4 linked regions of the Saccharomyces cerevisiae S288C genome follow. Changing the gene in region 1 together with any one later gene gives a genetic interaction. Each region holds a gene or a part of one and is shown in the gene's direction. Other genes may lie near its edges.

Region 1 (2,959 bases):
AAAGATTGAAATCTCCACTTGAAGCCACATTGAATAAATACTTTTTTAATTCTTGATAATCTTGAGATTGCCCCATAGCTTGTCGATTGCTCCATGGAAATCCGGTGGAACTAACGAATTTCGAGTTGGTTTCCGTATCGGTATTCGGGAACCCATGAGTCAGCGTCACTAAAAGATAGTCTACCGGAAATGCAGGCTTCGCATTTTCCTTCACTGTTATACCATATTCATTCGACTTCATGTAAAATATCTCAGGTACATATCTTTCATCTGTAGTGTCATTAATATATGCCATTGAAGGAAATGTGGACCCACTTATCATATCTGCAGTAACCAATGCTTCAGCTTCTGTGGATACTTGGTAGCTCGAAATATCAATTTCACCTTCCAAATTACCTGATATAACGCAAGTTACAAACTTGGAAGAAAAAAAACCTTGTTCGCTATACTTGCTTACATTAGGATGCCTTGTTTGATGCCTAGCAGCCATAATAACTTCTAATGATGAAAGAAAAAACGAATCCTTATGTCTTTTGCAAAAAACAGACCCATCCCCAGCTCCCGCGTCAGATAAATCTGTAAATATTAGGCCAATTCGCGAAAGCCCCATTTCTTGAGCCTGTCTATCAATCTGTAGCATTTCATTCTTGACCTGTTCTACGTCCATGGTTAAACCGTCTTGCTCATCATGCTGAGGGGGCTCGTATATCGCCTCAACGACGGCCTTTATACCTAAAGGTGTGTTATCATACTTAGAATAAGATCCGTACATATAGCCAAATCTTTGCATACCCGTGTACCTCCACGCCTGAATAAATTCATTAATTATTTCACTCTTCTGAAATTCAACGTGGTCAACCATTCTAAATTCTTGCTGTTGTAATGTAATTGCCGATGGTTGACATTTAGAACATATCCCCCGAGGCCATGGTTCATGGCCATTATGGCAACGCTTATTGATTCTAAAATCAGGTTCTGAAAGAGGGGAAATATAAGAGCTGCCGTTCTCCTTCTTATTAGCATTTTCATTTAGCTTTTTAAGATATGAATGAAACGATATATGTTTGATCTTATTCTTCTCATGATATTCTTTGTCCCAAGGAGGTAAAGGCGAGCAGTATTCACACATACCTCTATCACCGTGCTTGCATAGTTTTGATTTTTGACGAGGAATTAATCCGTCCTCTTTCTCTAGTTCCTCATCTACAGCGAGTTCTTTGATCCTTAGTGGACCGTACCTGTGTTGACGAATTCCCTTGCTGTCAATACCTACGGATCCGATTTCAACATTGACACCATCTTTCTCATTAGCGGGCTTGTCCGAATAGTTAAGGATCAGCATGTCACCGTGCTTTAGTCCTAGATCCATCACTGTTCGATCAGCTAGTTCAGAAACAGCATGAATACCTTGACCGGGCTTCTCACAAACAGTAAATGTGTCGACATCGGCATTGGGGTCCAGATTACCCACCAACTTTTCAATGACCGTTCCGAAAAGGTCGTTTTCTTGACAAGAAACCCTGTGTGTACCGTTTTTTGATCTAAATCTGATAAGCATACTTCACTTAAATGTATATCGATATCAGTAGTATAGGGAAATTTTTCTTCAGAGTACTGTCCTATTATTTGCCACTCTTCGTTCTGTATGTTACGAGGGCGTTCCTTAAAATGGGTAGACGCATCTTATTACCCGCCAAAAAACGTCAAAAGTTTTAGGAACACGTCTAAAAGTTGAAATAATATGTGAAAAAATTGATGAAATATTAATGAAATGGCTTATTTAAACGAATTCAAGTACAGGAAAGAGGTACGCACAACTACTTGAGTTTGCCAATATGTCCGAATTTAATGAAACAAAATTCTCCAACAACGGGACGTTTTTTGAAACGGAAGAGCCAATTGTGGAGACGAAATCAATCTCCGTTTATACCCCACTCATATATGTCTTTATTCTGGTGGTGTCCCTTGTGATGTTTGCTTCAAGCTACAGAAAGAAGCAGGCCAAAAAAATTAGTGAGCAACCATCCATATTTGACGAAAACGATGCCCATGATCTGTATTTCCAAATAAAGGAAATGAGTGAAAATGAAAAAATTCACGAGAAGGTGTTGAAGGCCGCTTTATTGAACAGAGGAGCAGAATCTGTTAGACGATCATTAAAGTTAAAAGAGTTGGCTCCTCAGATAAACCTTCTATATAAAAATGGCTCTATTGGGGAGGATTACTGGAAGAGATTTGAAACTGAAGTTAAATTAATTGAATTGGAATTTAAAGATACTTTACAAGAAGCTGAAAGATTGCAACCGGGCTGGGTTCAATTGTTCGTTATGGTTTGTAAAGAAATTTGCTTTAATCAAGCTCTCTCTAGACGTTATCAATCAATCTTGAAACGGAAAGAAGTGTGTATTAAAGAGTGGGAGCTGAAAATAAATAATGATGGAAGATTAGTCAATTAGTGCCTACTGTGTGCAAAGATATGTATTCGCTCGTTCAGTGTTTTTTTAAAAATATGTATAGAATTTGTCATTATCTGCGTTAAAAAATAGTTATAAAGTATATACAATAACAATAAATGATAAAGAAATATGCAGTGAAAAGAAAAAATTATGAAGCTTTTCCTTTCAGTGTTTTCTACCCTTCTTCTTGCTCACTACTTGGAATTCCCAGCCGTCGTCATCATTGCCTGATAGAGCTAGCGCTTCATTCCAACTTAGTGGATCATCACCTTGTTTTTCGCACGCAACACGTCTTTTAATAAATTCAGTGGCAAATCTTCTACCATCCATAACGTCACTATTGGCATAAATTGTTTCTTGAATCAATTCTTTAGATTCTGGCCCCGTAGGTAAACTCAATAATAGTTCTAAGACATTGTTATTGGTTATTCCAGAATTTAATTTCATCTGTGATTTACACCATTTGATAAATTCTTGCCGGGGAGAAACATTGTTCATGCTAG
Region 2 (5,644 bases), on another chromosome or scaffold:
AAGGAGGTACGGCTGGCTGGTCCCGGTCTTTTATCTCTTTAACTATCCAAAGCGAAGCACCTACTGCGTTTGTTCCAATGAACAACCCACCCAGAATGGGAATAGACTCTAATAAACCGCTGGATATCGAGTAAAGGAGCCACTTGGCAAAGCCCTTGTAGTAAACTTTGGAAAGTTTGCGCGAATCCAAATGTAGCACGTCAACAAAATAAGGCTCAAAATAGTAAAATCCCATTCCGGGGCTAAATGGTAGCATATTGATTGTAATTGGACCCACTATTGGAACGAGCAACAATAAAAGAAACATAAAGGCTATGAAGATGTACCAGAAGAAAAAAATGAAAAACTGCGGCAAAGAGACGAGGTAAAACCGTTTCGAAAAGAGGCCACCCAAACGATGTGACCTTCTGTAGACAAAGGGCGTGAAACTTATCGTTTCACAGGCTTCACTCAACTCTGTTAATCCCTTTCTTGCGAACGTCACTCCATAAATACGTGTGAAAAGAACGAAATCGGTACCCTTCACCATAGAATTACATAGCGTTGTGGAAATCAGAATAGTTTGCATATAAGCCAGAGGTAACGCAAAGAGTCCGAGAAAGGGCAAATAGATGCACACTAACAAGGACCACGCAAGGATTGACGTAAACGCAACAATAAGCAGGAGATTCAGCAGGTAGTATCCAAATATTAGGAAAAATAGATGCAAATAATCCGAGTTTCCCACGGATTCGCTAATTCCCTTCAAAGGCGGTTAGTATGACGGCTTAAAAAACATGATCTGCTTATTGGAACATCAACATACTTTATACGGATACCAGATGATCTGGTGCGACGACTCTAGGTCTTTCCAAAAATTGTCTTTAACAAGCATAGCATTCTTGTACCATCGAACTATCGGAGCCTTGTATGCCATCCAAATTTTTGATTTCTTATGGTTCCCTTGGTCTTGGATGGGGAGTAATTGTGGTTCCTCCCCTTCTGCCAGTGGCGTAGAGGCATATGGATGTCTATGGTAATACCAATCAGGTTGGGGTCTAGTCGACATGTTTGCTTGGTGTCTTAGCAGCTCTTATAGTTCTAATGCTATAACTAAGAAAGTAATAATAATAATAATAAAAAGCTTTATATAATGTTTTATTATGGAAGTTTCGTTTTTGTGGCGCGACGCGATCAGCCAAAATCAGCGGAAAAATTCGTCGGAACATTTTTTTCTTTTTTGGCCAAGCTATTGTTACAGGTGGGGCAGGGGCAAGAGACGATATGTCATCGCGAAGCTGTAAAGACACTTGTCGAAGTGATAAAGCGCAAGAGCTGTTTGTCTACGGAACCAGCAAGTACTATCTAATAGCGTGTTCCAGAGAATAACAGCATTTTTCAACTTCTTTCTCCTGGTGTGAGTAATCAGTACGTGAAAAGAGAACGAAGTTAAAAAAAAAAACAAGAAAAAGAAACAAGATCAAAAGAAACGATAAAGGCTGGCTTATAAAATAATAGCATCGCGAACGATCAATAAGGGGCCCTGTTTATTTTTAACAAAGTTTACATATTTCGTTTTCCTCTTTAAGCTGACATCACGTCTATACCCTGTTTTATTCCTTGTTAGAAACATAACGGAGCAGGTAGTAACAACAACAGTATAAACTATCATAAACTTTTTTCCTTCCTTATTGGTGACTTTTAACACTTAGAATTCTAAGTCTGGCAAGAACAGTAATCATACTTCTTTGCAGGGCGTTTTATTGTTACTCCTCTGCCCTGCTAGATTAAAGTAAAGAATCATAAACAAAGAACACAATGACATACCCGGTTAGTGCAGCCGCTCCTGCCGACATTTCATATTCTAAAAATACCCCGTTGGTAGGGCTCTCTAAACCTCCATGCTTGTACCAACACGCTTCCTCGTCCGTCGATTCGTTTTCGTCAACATTCAGTGATGATGATCGTTCGGACCTTGTTGCTGTACCTAATGAGTCGCCGCATGCATTTTCGTATAATCCCATATCACCAAACTCACTGGGAGTAAGGTTGACCATCTTAAGAAGGTCTTTGGAAATAATGGTAAACAGTCCTGACATCTTACATGAGTTGAAGAAAAAAGCACCCGTAATAGCATACCCCCCCTCACTTAGACACACAAGAAACTTAACAGAGACTGCCACGTTATCAGCATCGCGAGATCCGTTAAATGGGTCTCTAATTTCACCATTAGTATCCAATATGCCATCTCCTGCTAGTAGACCCGTGATACAGAGAGCAACGTCCTTAATGGTGTTGCCTGATAATGATACTGCCAGTAAACTGAATCCAGCCAAGTCCGAGTTAGAAAACTTGTTATTCTTGCTAAATTTAGCATTGGAAAACAATTCCTTCGAAAGAGCTTCCGATTTACACATGCTATCGTTATTGAATATCAAGAAAATAAACTTTGATTCAGACATTCAAAAATCAGAAACTTTGAAAAAGGTTTTATTAGATAGTTTAGCAGAACCATTTTTTGAAAACTACAAGAAGTTCCCTCACAAAGATTTAGGTTCGAAATCGCAATATAATGAATATGAGGAGAAACACGATGATATAGTCTCCTTAGCAGACATCAAACCACAACAGGACTATAGCCGAATTCTTCATCCTTTCACATCTGCAAAAAATTCTGGTCCAGAGGCCATTTTTACATGTTCTCAACAATACCCCTGGAACTTCAAAGCTGCCAATGATTTGGCGTGTCTAACGTTCGGTATATCAAAGAATGTTATCAAGGCACTTACTTTACTAGACCTTATTCATACGGATAGCAGAAATTTTGTTCTAGAGAAAATCATGAATGCAGAAGATGATAACCAAGAAATTGTGTTTACCGGAGAAACTATACCTATCGTCCAGCCAAATTCGACAAGCAATAATAATGTACCAAATCTGATTTGGGCTTCACTATGGGCCAAGCGGAAGAATGGCCTACTGGTCTGCGTATTTGAAAAAACGCCTTGCGATTACATTGACGTCATGTTAAACTTGAGAGATTTTTCAGTGGACAGCATTATTGATACAACACACTTTCTGGAAAACTTTGACAAGAAAAAGCAGCAAGAATCAACTTCGCCAATGACAGAAAAGAAAACGGTAAAATTTGCAAATGAAATTCACGATATTGGGTCAGTAAGTCACTCACTGAGTAAACTAATTGATGATGTACGTTTTGGAAAAGTGTTTTCTGCAGATGATGATTTATTACCCTTGTCTATCAGGGTGGCAAATCATGTCAACGAAGAGAGATATTTTACGTTGAATTGTCTATCTGAAAATATACCATGTGCTGTTACAACTTCCGTATTGGAAAACGAAATAAAATTAAAAATTCATAGTTTGCCCTATCAGGCTGGGCTATTTATTGTTGACAGTCACACTTTAAGTCTTTTAAGTTTCAACAAATCAGTCGCCAAAAACATGTTTGGCTTGCGACTTCACGAGTTGGCCGGTAGTTCGGTTACTAAGTTGGTTCCTTCTTTGGCGGACATGATATCTTATATCAATAAAACTTATCCTATGTTAAATATCACATTACCAGAAAATAAAGGATTGGTTTTAACAGAACATTTTTTCAGAAAAATTGAGGCTGAAATGCATCATGATAAGGACTCGTTTTACACTTCTATTGGTCTAGACGGCTGTCACAAAGATGGTAATTTGATAAAGGTGGATGTTCAATTACGGGTCTTGAATACGAATGCTGTATTATTATGGATTACACACTCAAGAGACGTGGTCATTGAAAATTATACCACCGTTCCTTCGCAGCTACCGATGTTAAAGGAGAACGAAATTGATGTCGTTGGCAGTAGAGGTAGTTCCAGTGCATCTTCCAAGAAATCTTCGGAAAAAATTCCTGTGAATACTTTGAAGGCAATGGCTGATCTGTCGATTAGCTCCGCTGAAACGATTTCTAATTCAGACGATGAAGTAGACTTAAATCAAGTGAATGAAAAACTACGAGAAACTTCTTGCGGTAAAGTGAGAGGTATCGAATCTAATGACAACAATAACTATGACGATGACATGACAATGGTTGATGATCCTGAGTTAAAACATAAAATTGAATTAACGAAAATGTACACGCAGGACAAATCAAAATTTGTAAAGGACGACAACTTTAAAGTGGATGAAAAATTTATAATGAGGATAATTGAACCGATAAACGGAGAAGAAATCAAAAAGGAAACAAATGAGCTAGACAAAAGAAATTCTACTTTAAAAGCTACGTACTTGACTACTCCAGAGGCTAATATAGGCTCACAAAAGCGCATAAAGAAATTTTCTGATTTTACTATTCTGCAAGTGATGGGTGAGGGTGCGTACGGTAAAGTCAATTTATGCATTCATAACAGAGAACACTATATCGTGGTCATCAAAATGATTTTCAAAGAGAGGATTTTAGTAGACACATGGGTGAGAGATAGAAAATTAGGTACTATACCTTCTGAGATCCAAATTATGGCGACCTTGAATAAAAATTCCCAAGAAAATATCTTGAAGTTATTAGATTTTTTTGAAGATGACGATTATTATTACATTGAAACACCGGTCCATGGAGAAACTGGTAGTATTGATCTATTTGATGTTATCGAATTCAAAAAAGATATGGTTGAACATGAAGCTAAACTGGTGTTTAAACAGGTAGTCGCTAGTATAAAGCATTTACATGACCAAGGAATTGTTCATAGAGACATAAAGGACGAAAATGTTATTGTTGATTCTCATGGCTTTGTAAAATTAATCGATTTCGGTTCGGCTGCCTATATCAAGAGTGGACCATTCGATGTTTTTGTGGGAACAATGGACTATGCTGCACCTGAAGTCCTTGGTGGTTCCTCTTACAAAGGTAAACCACAAGATATTTGGGCTCTTGGTGTGCTACTTTATACCATAATTTATAAAGAGAATCCTTATTACAACATTGATGAAATCTTGGAAGGTGAATTAAGGTTCGATAAATCGGAACATGTCAGTGAAGAATGCATCAGTTTGATAAAAAGAATTTTGACAAGAGAAGTTGATAAAAGACCTACTATTGATGAAATATATGAAGATAAATGGCTTAAAATCTAGTTTTCCGTACTCTCCAAGATAAAGGGAAAGAATAATTTAATCCATTTTCATAACCATTTACCTTCATAAATGTTCTATTCTTTTTTTGGCTATATATTAATTACATTTTTAATATCATATCATTGCTCTATATCCTTCTTGTCCAGCCTCTATGCAGTATTTTCTTTCATTCTATTTTGGGGCAAACTTCTGCGCTGAGCGGCTTATCGCCGTCGGAGTGACATCAAGTACCATAGAAAAGTCATCGTAGACTTACATATTTAGGCAAGAGAAATAGTTAGGTAAACAGAAAGAGGCACTAGCAGAACGTACTACGGTGTGGTTTATACAAGAGGGTTCTGTGAATAATGGCTGCAAGTGAGATAATGAACAATCTGCCTATGCATTCCCTCGATTCTTCTCTAAGGGATTTACTTAACGATGACTTATTCATTGAAAGTGATGAATCGACCAAGTCGGTAAATGATCAGAGGAGTGAAGTATTTCAAGAATGTGTGAACCTTTTCATAAAAAGAGATATCAAGGATTGCCTAGAAAAAAT
Region 3 (3,673 bases), on another chromosome or scaffold:
TAGGAAATAATGGGGTGTACAGTGAGTACGCAAACAATAGGAGACGAAAGTGATCCTTTTCTACAGAACAAAAGAGCCAATGATGTCATCGAGCAATCGTTGCAGCTGGAGAAACAACGTGACAAGAATGAAATAAAACTGTTACTATTAGGTGCCGGTGAGTCAGGTAAATCAACGGTTTTAAAACAATTAAAATTATTACATCAAGGCGGTTTCTCCCATCAAGAAAGGTTACAGTATGCTCAAGTGATATGGGCAGATGCCATACAATCAATGAAAATTTTGATTATTCAGGCCAGAAAACTAGGTATTCAACTTGACTGTGATGATCCGATCAACAATAAAGATTTGTTTGCATGCAAGAGAATACTGCTAAAGGCTAAAGCTTTAGATTATATCAACGCCAGTGTTGCCGGTGGTTCTGATTTTCTAAATGATTATGTACTGAAGTACTCAGAAAGGTATGAAACTAGGAGGCGTGTTCAGAGTACCGGACGAGCAAAAGCTGCTTTCGATGAAGACGGAAATATTTCTAATGTCAAAAGTGACACTGACAGAGATGCTGAAACGGTGACGCAAAATGAGGATGCTGATAGAAACAACAGTAGTAGAATTAACCTACAGGATATTTGCAAGGACTTGAACCAAGAAGGCGATGACCAGATGTTTGTTAGAAAAACATCAAGGGAAATTCAAGGACAAAATAGACGAAATCTTATTCACGAAGACATTGCTAAGGCAATAAAGCAACTTTGGAATAACGACAAAGGTATAAAGCAGTGTTTTGCACGTTCTAATGAGTTTCAATTGGAGGGCTCAGCTGCATACTACTTTGATAACATTGAGAAATTTGCTAGTCCGAATTATGTCTGTACGGATGAAGACATTTTGAAGGGCCGTATAAAGACTACAGGCATTACAGAAACCGAATTTAACATCGGCTCGTCCAAATTCAAGGTTCTCGACGCTGGTGGGCAGCGTTCTGAACGTAAGAAGTGGATTCATTGTTTCGAAGGAATTACAGCAGTTTTATTTGTTTTAGCAATGAGTGAATACGACCAGATGTTGTTTGAGGATGAAAGAGTGAACAGAATGCATGAATCAATAATGCTATTTGACACGTTATTGAACTCTAAGTGGTTCAAAGATACACCGTTTATTTTGTTTTTAAATAAAATTGATTTGTTCGAGGAAAAGGTAAAAAGCATGCCCATAAGAAAGTACTTTCCTGATTACCAGGGACGTGTCGGCGATGCAGAAGCGGGTCTAAAATATTTTGAGAAGATATTTTTGAGCTTGAATAAGACAAACAAACCAATCTACGTGAAACGAACCTGCGCTACCGATACCCAAACTATGAAGTTCGTATTGAGTGCAGTCACCGATCTAATCATCCAGCAAAACCTTAAAAAAATTGGTATTATATGAAGGAACTGTATAATTAAAGTAGTGTTTAGATACGTAAATTCTGTTTCCGAAGATGCAAGAAGGAGCAGCAGCACCAGAAAAAATTACTATTTTTCTTCTCCATTAGAGTCTATGATGGAATGCCAAATGAAAAAGCCATTTTGTTCAACAGTTCTTGATCTCGTTAAATCGTTCCGGGTTTTCAATTGAAAAACAAGGGTAATAAAATCGCATGAGAAAAAAAAGGTCCAGACACTTTTTTAGAAGAAAAACTCTTGAAAACAATTGATTCTTCTACGTAAGGACAGGGTATTATCTCGAATTCTTCTCCCTGGTAAATACTCGGGATATATAGAACCTATTTTGCATCCTATTCTCACTTTTCTTTATTGTTGTTAATTTCTGGACATTGTTTCATTAATTGAATGAATGCCCTAAAATATTTCTCAAATCATTTAATAACTACAAAGAAACAAAAAAAAATCAATGTTGAGGTGACAAAGAATCAAGATCTACTAGGCCCTTCAAAGGAAGTTTCGAACAAATATACTAGCCACAGCGAAAATGATTGCGTTAGTGAGGTGGACCAACAGTACGACCACTCCTCAAGCCACTTAAAAGAATCTGATCAAAATCAAGAGCGCAAAAATTCTGTTCCTAAAAAACCAAAAGCTTTACGTTCCATCCTAATAGAGAAAATAGCGTCAATTTTGTGGGCACTACTACTTTTTCTTCCGTATTATCTGATAATCAAGCCCTTGATGTCTTTATGGTTTGTTTTTACCTTCCCACTAAGTGTCATCGAGCGTCGTGTAAAACACACCGATAAGAGAAACAGGGGTTCAAATGCTAGTGAGAATGAGCTGCCTGTCAGTTCAAGCAATATTAACGATTCTAGCGAGAAAACAAATCCTAAAAATTGCAATCTAAATACGATTCCCGAGGCAGTTGAGGATGACTTAAATGCCAGTGATGAGATAATTCTACAAAGGGATAATGTTAAAGGCTCATTACTTAGAGCTCAATCTGTCAAATCAAGGCCAAGAAGTTATTCCAAATCAGAACTATCACTTTCTAATCATTCAAGTTCTAATACCGTATTTGGTACAAAACGAATGGGAAGGTTCTTATTTCCAAAGAAGCTGATACCTAAATCCGTGCTTAACACACAAAAGAAAAAGAAACTGGTTATAGATCTCGATGAGACCTTAATTCACTCGGCTTCTCGAAGTACAACGCATAGTAATTCTTCTCAGGGTCACTTGGTGGAAGTGAAGTTTGGATTGAGCGGAATTCGTACACTATACTTTATTCACAAGAGGCCTTACTGTGATTTATTTTTGACAAAAGTTAGCAAATGGTACGACCTTATCATTTTTACAGCATCCATGAAAGAATACGCTGATCCTGTGATAGATTGGTTAGAAAGCTCCTTCCCATCCAGTTTTTCAAAAAGATATTACCGTTCTGATTGCGTTCTAAGGGATGGTGTTGGATACATTAAAGATTTGAGCATTGTCAAGGACTCCGAAGAAAACGGGAAAGGCAGCTCCTCTTCTTTGGATGATGTCATTATTATAGATAACAGCCCGGTAAGTTACGCAATGAATGTAGATAACGCTATTCAAGTAGAAGGATGGATAAGTGATCCAACTGATACGGACTTACTGAACCTGTTACCTTTCTTGGAGGCTATGAGGTATTCAACAGATGTCAGGAATATACTGGCATTGAAACATGGAGAGAAGGCATTCAACATAAACTGACAATTGTTATTGTGTCCTTCCAAAAAAGATGAGAATTTTAGGTGATAAATCGCCTATCCATTGCTGCTCATTTAATGGAAAGGTTATTGCATTCAGGGAAAAAAGTAACGGGAGAAAAAAGAGAAAAGACCTCTTTTTTGTTTTCTACATACGAGCATATTAATTATTTAGCAGGAAGATATACTTGATCTAAACAGTATATATATATATATATATATATATAGGTTGGGAATTAATCTTGAAATTTTTTTAGTCTTACGTTATCTTCAGCAGTGACACGCTAAATGCCCGTATCTTACTTTACATTTTGCTGTCAGGTTTTTTGATTTCTTTTTCATATTTTATGCAGTAGCGAAAAGAGACAAGACTATGAAAAAATTTTCTAGCGTTAGTAAAGTATTAATACTGCAATTAGTTAGGATAGCAGAACGAACAAATGGCAAATAATACGTGGAAGTTAATTGCTACTACAGCTCTTATATCGGTGTTTTCAACCCAAC
Region 4 (3,115 bases), on another chromosome or scaffold:
TTATCGTGTAGTAATTGTATGAGCGATTCCGTTCTATGCTCGCAAACGCAACTTTGCGAATGGGTCTCCAACCACCAAACAGGGACAAAGTTCTCACAGACCCGGCATAGTTCCATTTTTGGCAGAGGTAGATTGAACTCGTCTATTATCATTTCCAGTCGTATTCTCTTCAAGTACTGCACGAAGATCTTAGCGCCGAACCCAAGCGTCTTGGCGAACTCTTCGGGAAGTTGGATATCGATATCGTCGCAATTATCGGATAACTGGATGACCATGTCGTCTTGAGCGTCTTCGTTGGCATAAAAGTCTGACCAGTCGTTTGTGCGAGGCTTGACTATCCACATCGTGTGAGAGGGCAACTGTGTGTGGCCATCCCTGATTAAGATACCACGTGCTTCCAAGGTCGTTATCGTACTTTCATCGTCACAGCCTGCGCTACCTTCATAGTCGGCTGCCTTTATCTTGAACGTTATAGTGCAACTGGTGTCATCATTCATGAGCAGCATGTCTGTGGCCTTTTGAAAGACACCTTTATCTTGATCGGATCCGAGAATAAGGTCTGCAATGTACGTCGGAGAAGAGCCACTATCATCGGCGACTCCTGTGATCGTGTTCCACTGTGGAGAGCCATATCGCACCTTGCCGTCCAGTTCCAGCTCCAAGATCATACACGGATTCTTCTCTGTGGCCAGCTGCAGATATTTTTCATAATTGGAGGAAGTCAATGAGCTTGGGTTCGAATTCGATGATATCGGGGAGAGCTTGTTTATGCCAAGTCCCTCTTTCATAGCCTGAGATCCGCCTGCGGTGTTACTTCTATTGAACATCTGTCTTCCTCTACTGGGCTTATCTATTCTATCAAATGAGGCAAGAGAAAGGAAAGGGAAAAAAAAAAAGGGAAAATGCTTGATGAGTTAGGAATTCAGTAAAAGCACCCACCAGAACCTCTACAGCAGGCCTTCCAGGAGTGGTTAAGAGGATAGAGAATTCTGTATATATATATACGTCTATATCTATACAAAAAACGGCAGACAATGCAGAAGTTGAAAATGCTGTGATACGAACAACAACTTATTTTTACAATGAAAAACAACACCAAGCTGCCAAAAGCTGTATATTAAAGTTAAAGCTCCCTCATTTTTAGTAAGGACGCTTTCTTTTCCCACAAAAGGGACGAGGAAAAAAAGAAAAACCTGGAAATATAGTCACGTGACATGAATAAACAAGACCTAGGGCAATATGGAAAAAGAAGCTAGGATAAAAATACATTTATGAGGGTTGTAAGGCAAAGTGGCTCAGCATTAAGTAGGGCTAAAAAGAGTCGCAAATATACATCGTACCGAGTGATGAACGTGGTTTTGAACACCTTGTTCTCTTTTGTTCTCGCTCCCTACATTCACTATATATTAGAAGAAATTTCACCTCAATGGACAACTCGAGAAATGAATACAGAAATATGTTTTTTAGCGAAATTTTCCTTTCTTCTTGTCTTCTTGTTTTATTTAAACTTCCAAGGCTTTAACTCAGTGTCAAACATAACAACCTCCTCCTCCCCCACCTACGACAACAACCGCCACTATGGAAATGACTGATTTTGAACTAACTAGTAATTCGCAATCGAACTTGGCTATCCCTACCAACTTCAAGTCGACTCTGCCTCCAAGGAAAAGAGCCAAGACAAAAGAGGAAAAGGAACAGCGAAGGATCGAGCGTATTTTGAGAAACAGAAGAGCTGCTCACCAGAGCAGAGAGAAAAAAAGACTACATCTGCAGTATCTCGAGAGAAAATGTTCTCTTTTGGAAAATTTACTGAACAGCGTCAACCTTGAAAAACTGGCTGACCACGAAGACGCGTTGACTTGCAGCCACGACGCTTTTGTTGCTTCTCTTGACGAGTACAGGGATTTCCAGAGCACGAGGGGCGCTTCACTGGACACCAGGGCCAGTTCGCACTCGTCGTCTGATACGTTCACACCTTCACCTCTGAACTGTACAATGGAGCCTGCGACTTTGTCGCCCAAGAGTATGCGCGATTCCGCGTCGGACCAAGAGACTTCATGGGAGCTGCAGATGTTTAAGACGGAAAATGTACCAGAGTCGACGACGCTACCTGCCGTAGACAACAACAATTTGTTTGATGCGGTGGCCTCGCCGTTGGCAGACCCACTCTGCGACGATATAGCGGGAAACAGTCTACCCTTTGACAATTCAATTGATCTTGACAATTGGCGTAATCCAGCCGTGATTACGATGACCAGGAAACTACAGTGAACAAGAACACTAGCCCCAGCTTTTGCTTTCTGCTTTTTTTCTTTTTTTTTTTTTTTAGTCGTGGTTCTCTGATGGGGGAGGAGCCGGTTAAAGTACCTTCAAAAGCAGAATGCAGGGTTATTGGAAGCTTTCTTTTTTTCTTTTATGCTAGTTTTTCCTGAACAAATAGAGCCATTCTTTTCTTATTACTAAGAAATGGACGGCTTGCTTGTACTGTCCGAAGCGCAGTCAGGTTTGAATTCATTTGAATTGAATGATTTCTTCATCACTTCATGAAGACAATCGCAAGAGGGTATAATTTTTTTTTTCTCGTTATTATCGCTGTTGGTGGGTTTTTTCTTTTCATATATTTCTTTTTCGCTTAGTGGTTTCTACTGTTCTGTCTCCGGTTAGTGTGTGCTACTTCAACCGAAGAAGAAGAGGCTTTTCAAGAATGCAAACGTGAGGTTGGCGCGCCCTCCTACAATTATTTGTGGCGACTGGGCAGCGACACTGAACATAGCTCTTGAACAAGACCCTTTTTTGGCTGCAAGGAGCAAGACTGGCTGGGGTTCCACCTCAAAGAGCCACGCTCTGCTTTTTTTCTATCTGTTTGTGTCATATCTATCTGTCTATTTATCTATATATATATTTTTTTATATAAAACTATAAAGAATTCTTGATGTATGCCCTTAGGTTGGGCAGCTTTTCAACCTTAGACTTGATGCTAACGCCGCTCTGTTCCTTCTCCCGTGCTCCCGCAAGCGAACATCTCCCCCTAACTCCGGGCCAATGAGTGATAACTATATCAAATACCTTCGAAAGGACCTTAGTCATCATATCACTCTCACTCTCACGGCTCTCT

Evidence for each region.
Region 2: mutations in SEC66 (region 1) and PSK2 together harm fitness more than expected from each alone (negative genetic interaction), as found in Saccharomyces cerevisiae (4 studies listed by BioGRID).
Region 3: mutations in SEC66 (region 1) and NEM1 together harm fitness more than expected from each alone (negative genetic interaction), as found in Saccharomyces cerevisiae (4 studies listed by BioGRID).
Region 4: mutations in SEC66 (region 1) and HAC1 together harm fitness more than expected from each alone (negative genetic interaction), as found in Saccharomyces cerevisiae (5 studies listed by BioGRID, with this or other methods).

What each region holds. Positions count from the first base shown.
Region 1 is NC_001134.8:576,529-579,487, forward strand, and holds SEC66 (Sec63 complex subunit SEC66), read left to right. Parts: upstream 1-1,835; coding exon 1,836-2,456; downstream 2,457-2,959. Other genes in the region: NPL4 (nuclear protein localization protein 4), read right to left, coding at 1-1,558; SMY2 (Smy2p), read right to left, coding at 2,622-2,959. UniProt on the Saccharomyces cerevisiae protein: Acts as a component of the Sec62/63 complex which is involved in SRP-independent post-translational translocation across the endoplasmic reticulum (ER) and functions together with the Sec61 complex and KAR2 in a channel-forming translocon complex.
Region 2 is NC_001147.6:241,700-247,343, forward strand, and holds PSK2 (serine/threonine protein kinase PSK2), read left to right. Parts: upstream 1-1,797; coding exon 1,798-5,103; downstream 5,104-5,644. Other genes in the region: LDS2 (Lds2p), read right to left, coding at 1-742, 806-1,048; PEX15 (Pex15p), read left to right, coding at 5,451-5,644. UniProt on the Saccharomyces cerevisiae protein: Serine/threonine-protein kinase involved in the control of sugar metabolism and translation. Phosphorylates UGP1, which is required for normal glycogen and beta-(1,6)-glucan synthesis.
Region 3 is NC_001140.6:111,254-114,926, reverse strand, and holds NEM1 (Nem1-Spo7 phosphatase catalytic subunit NEM1), read left to right. Parts: upstream 1-1,832; coding exon 1,833-3,173; downstream 3,174-3,673. Other genes in the region: GPA1 (guanine nucleotide-binding protein subunit alpha), read left to right, coding at 10-1,428; TCD1 (tRNA threonylcarbamoyladenosine dehydratase), read left to right, coding at 3,610-3,673. UniProt on the Saccharomyces cerevisiae protein: Catalytic component of the NEM1-SPO7 complex which acts as a phosphatase and dephosphorylates the phosphatidic acid phosphohydrolase PAH1. Essential for the formation of a spherical nucleus and meiotic division.
Region 4 is NC_001138.5:73,601-76,715, forward strand, and holds HAC1 (transcription factor HAC1), read left to right. Parts: upstream 1-1,578; coding exon 1,579-2,239; intron 2,240-2,491; coding exon 2,492-2,547; downstream 2,548-3,115. Other genes in the region: protein kinase RIM15, read right to left, coding at 1-827. UniProt on the Saccharomyces cerevisiae protein: Transcriptional activator involved in the unfolded protein response (UPR) pathway. Recognizes and binds to the UPR element (UPRE) in the promoter of UPR-regulated genes such as KAR2, PDI1, EUG1 and FKB2.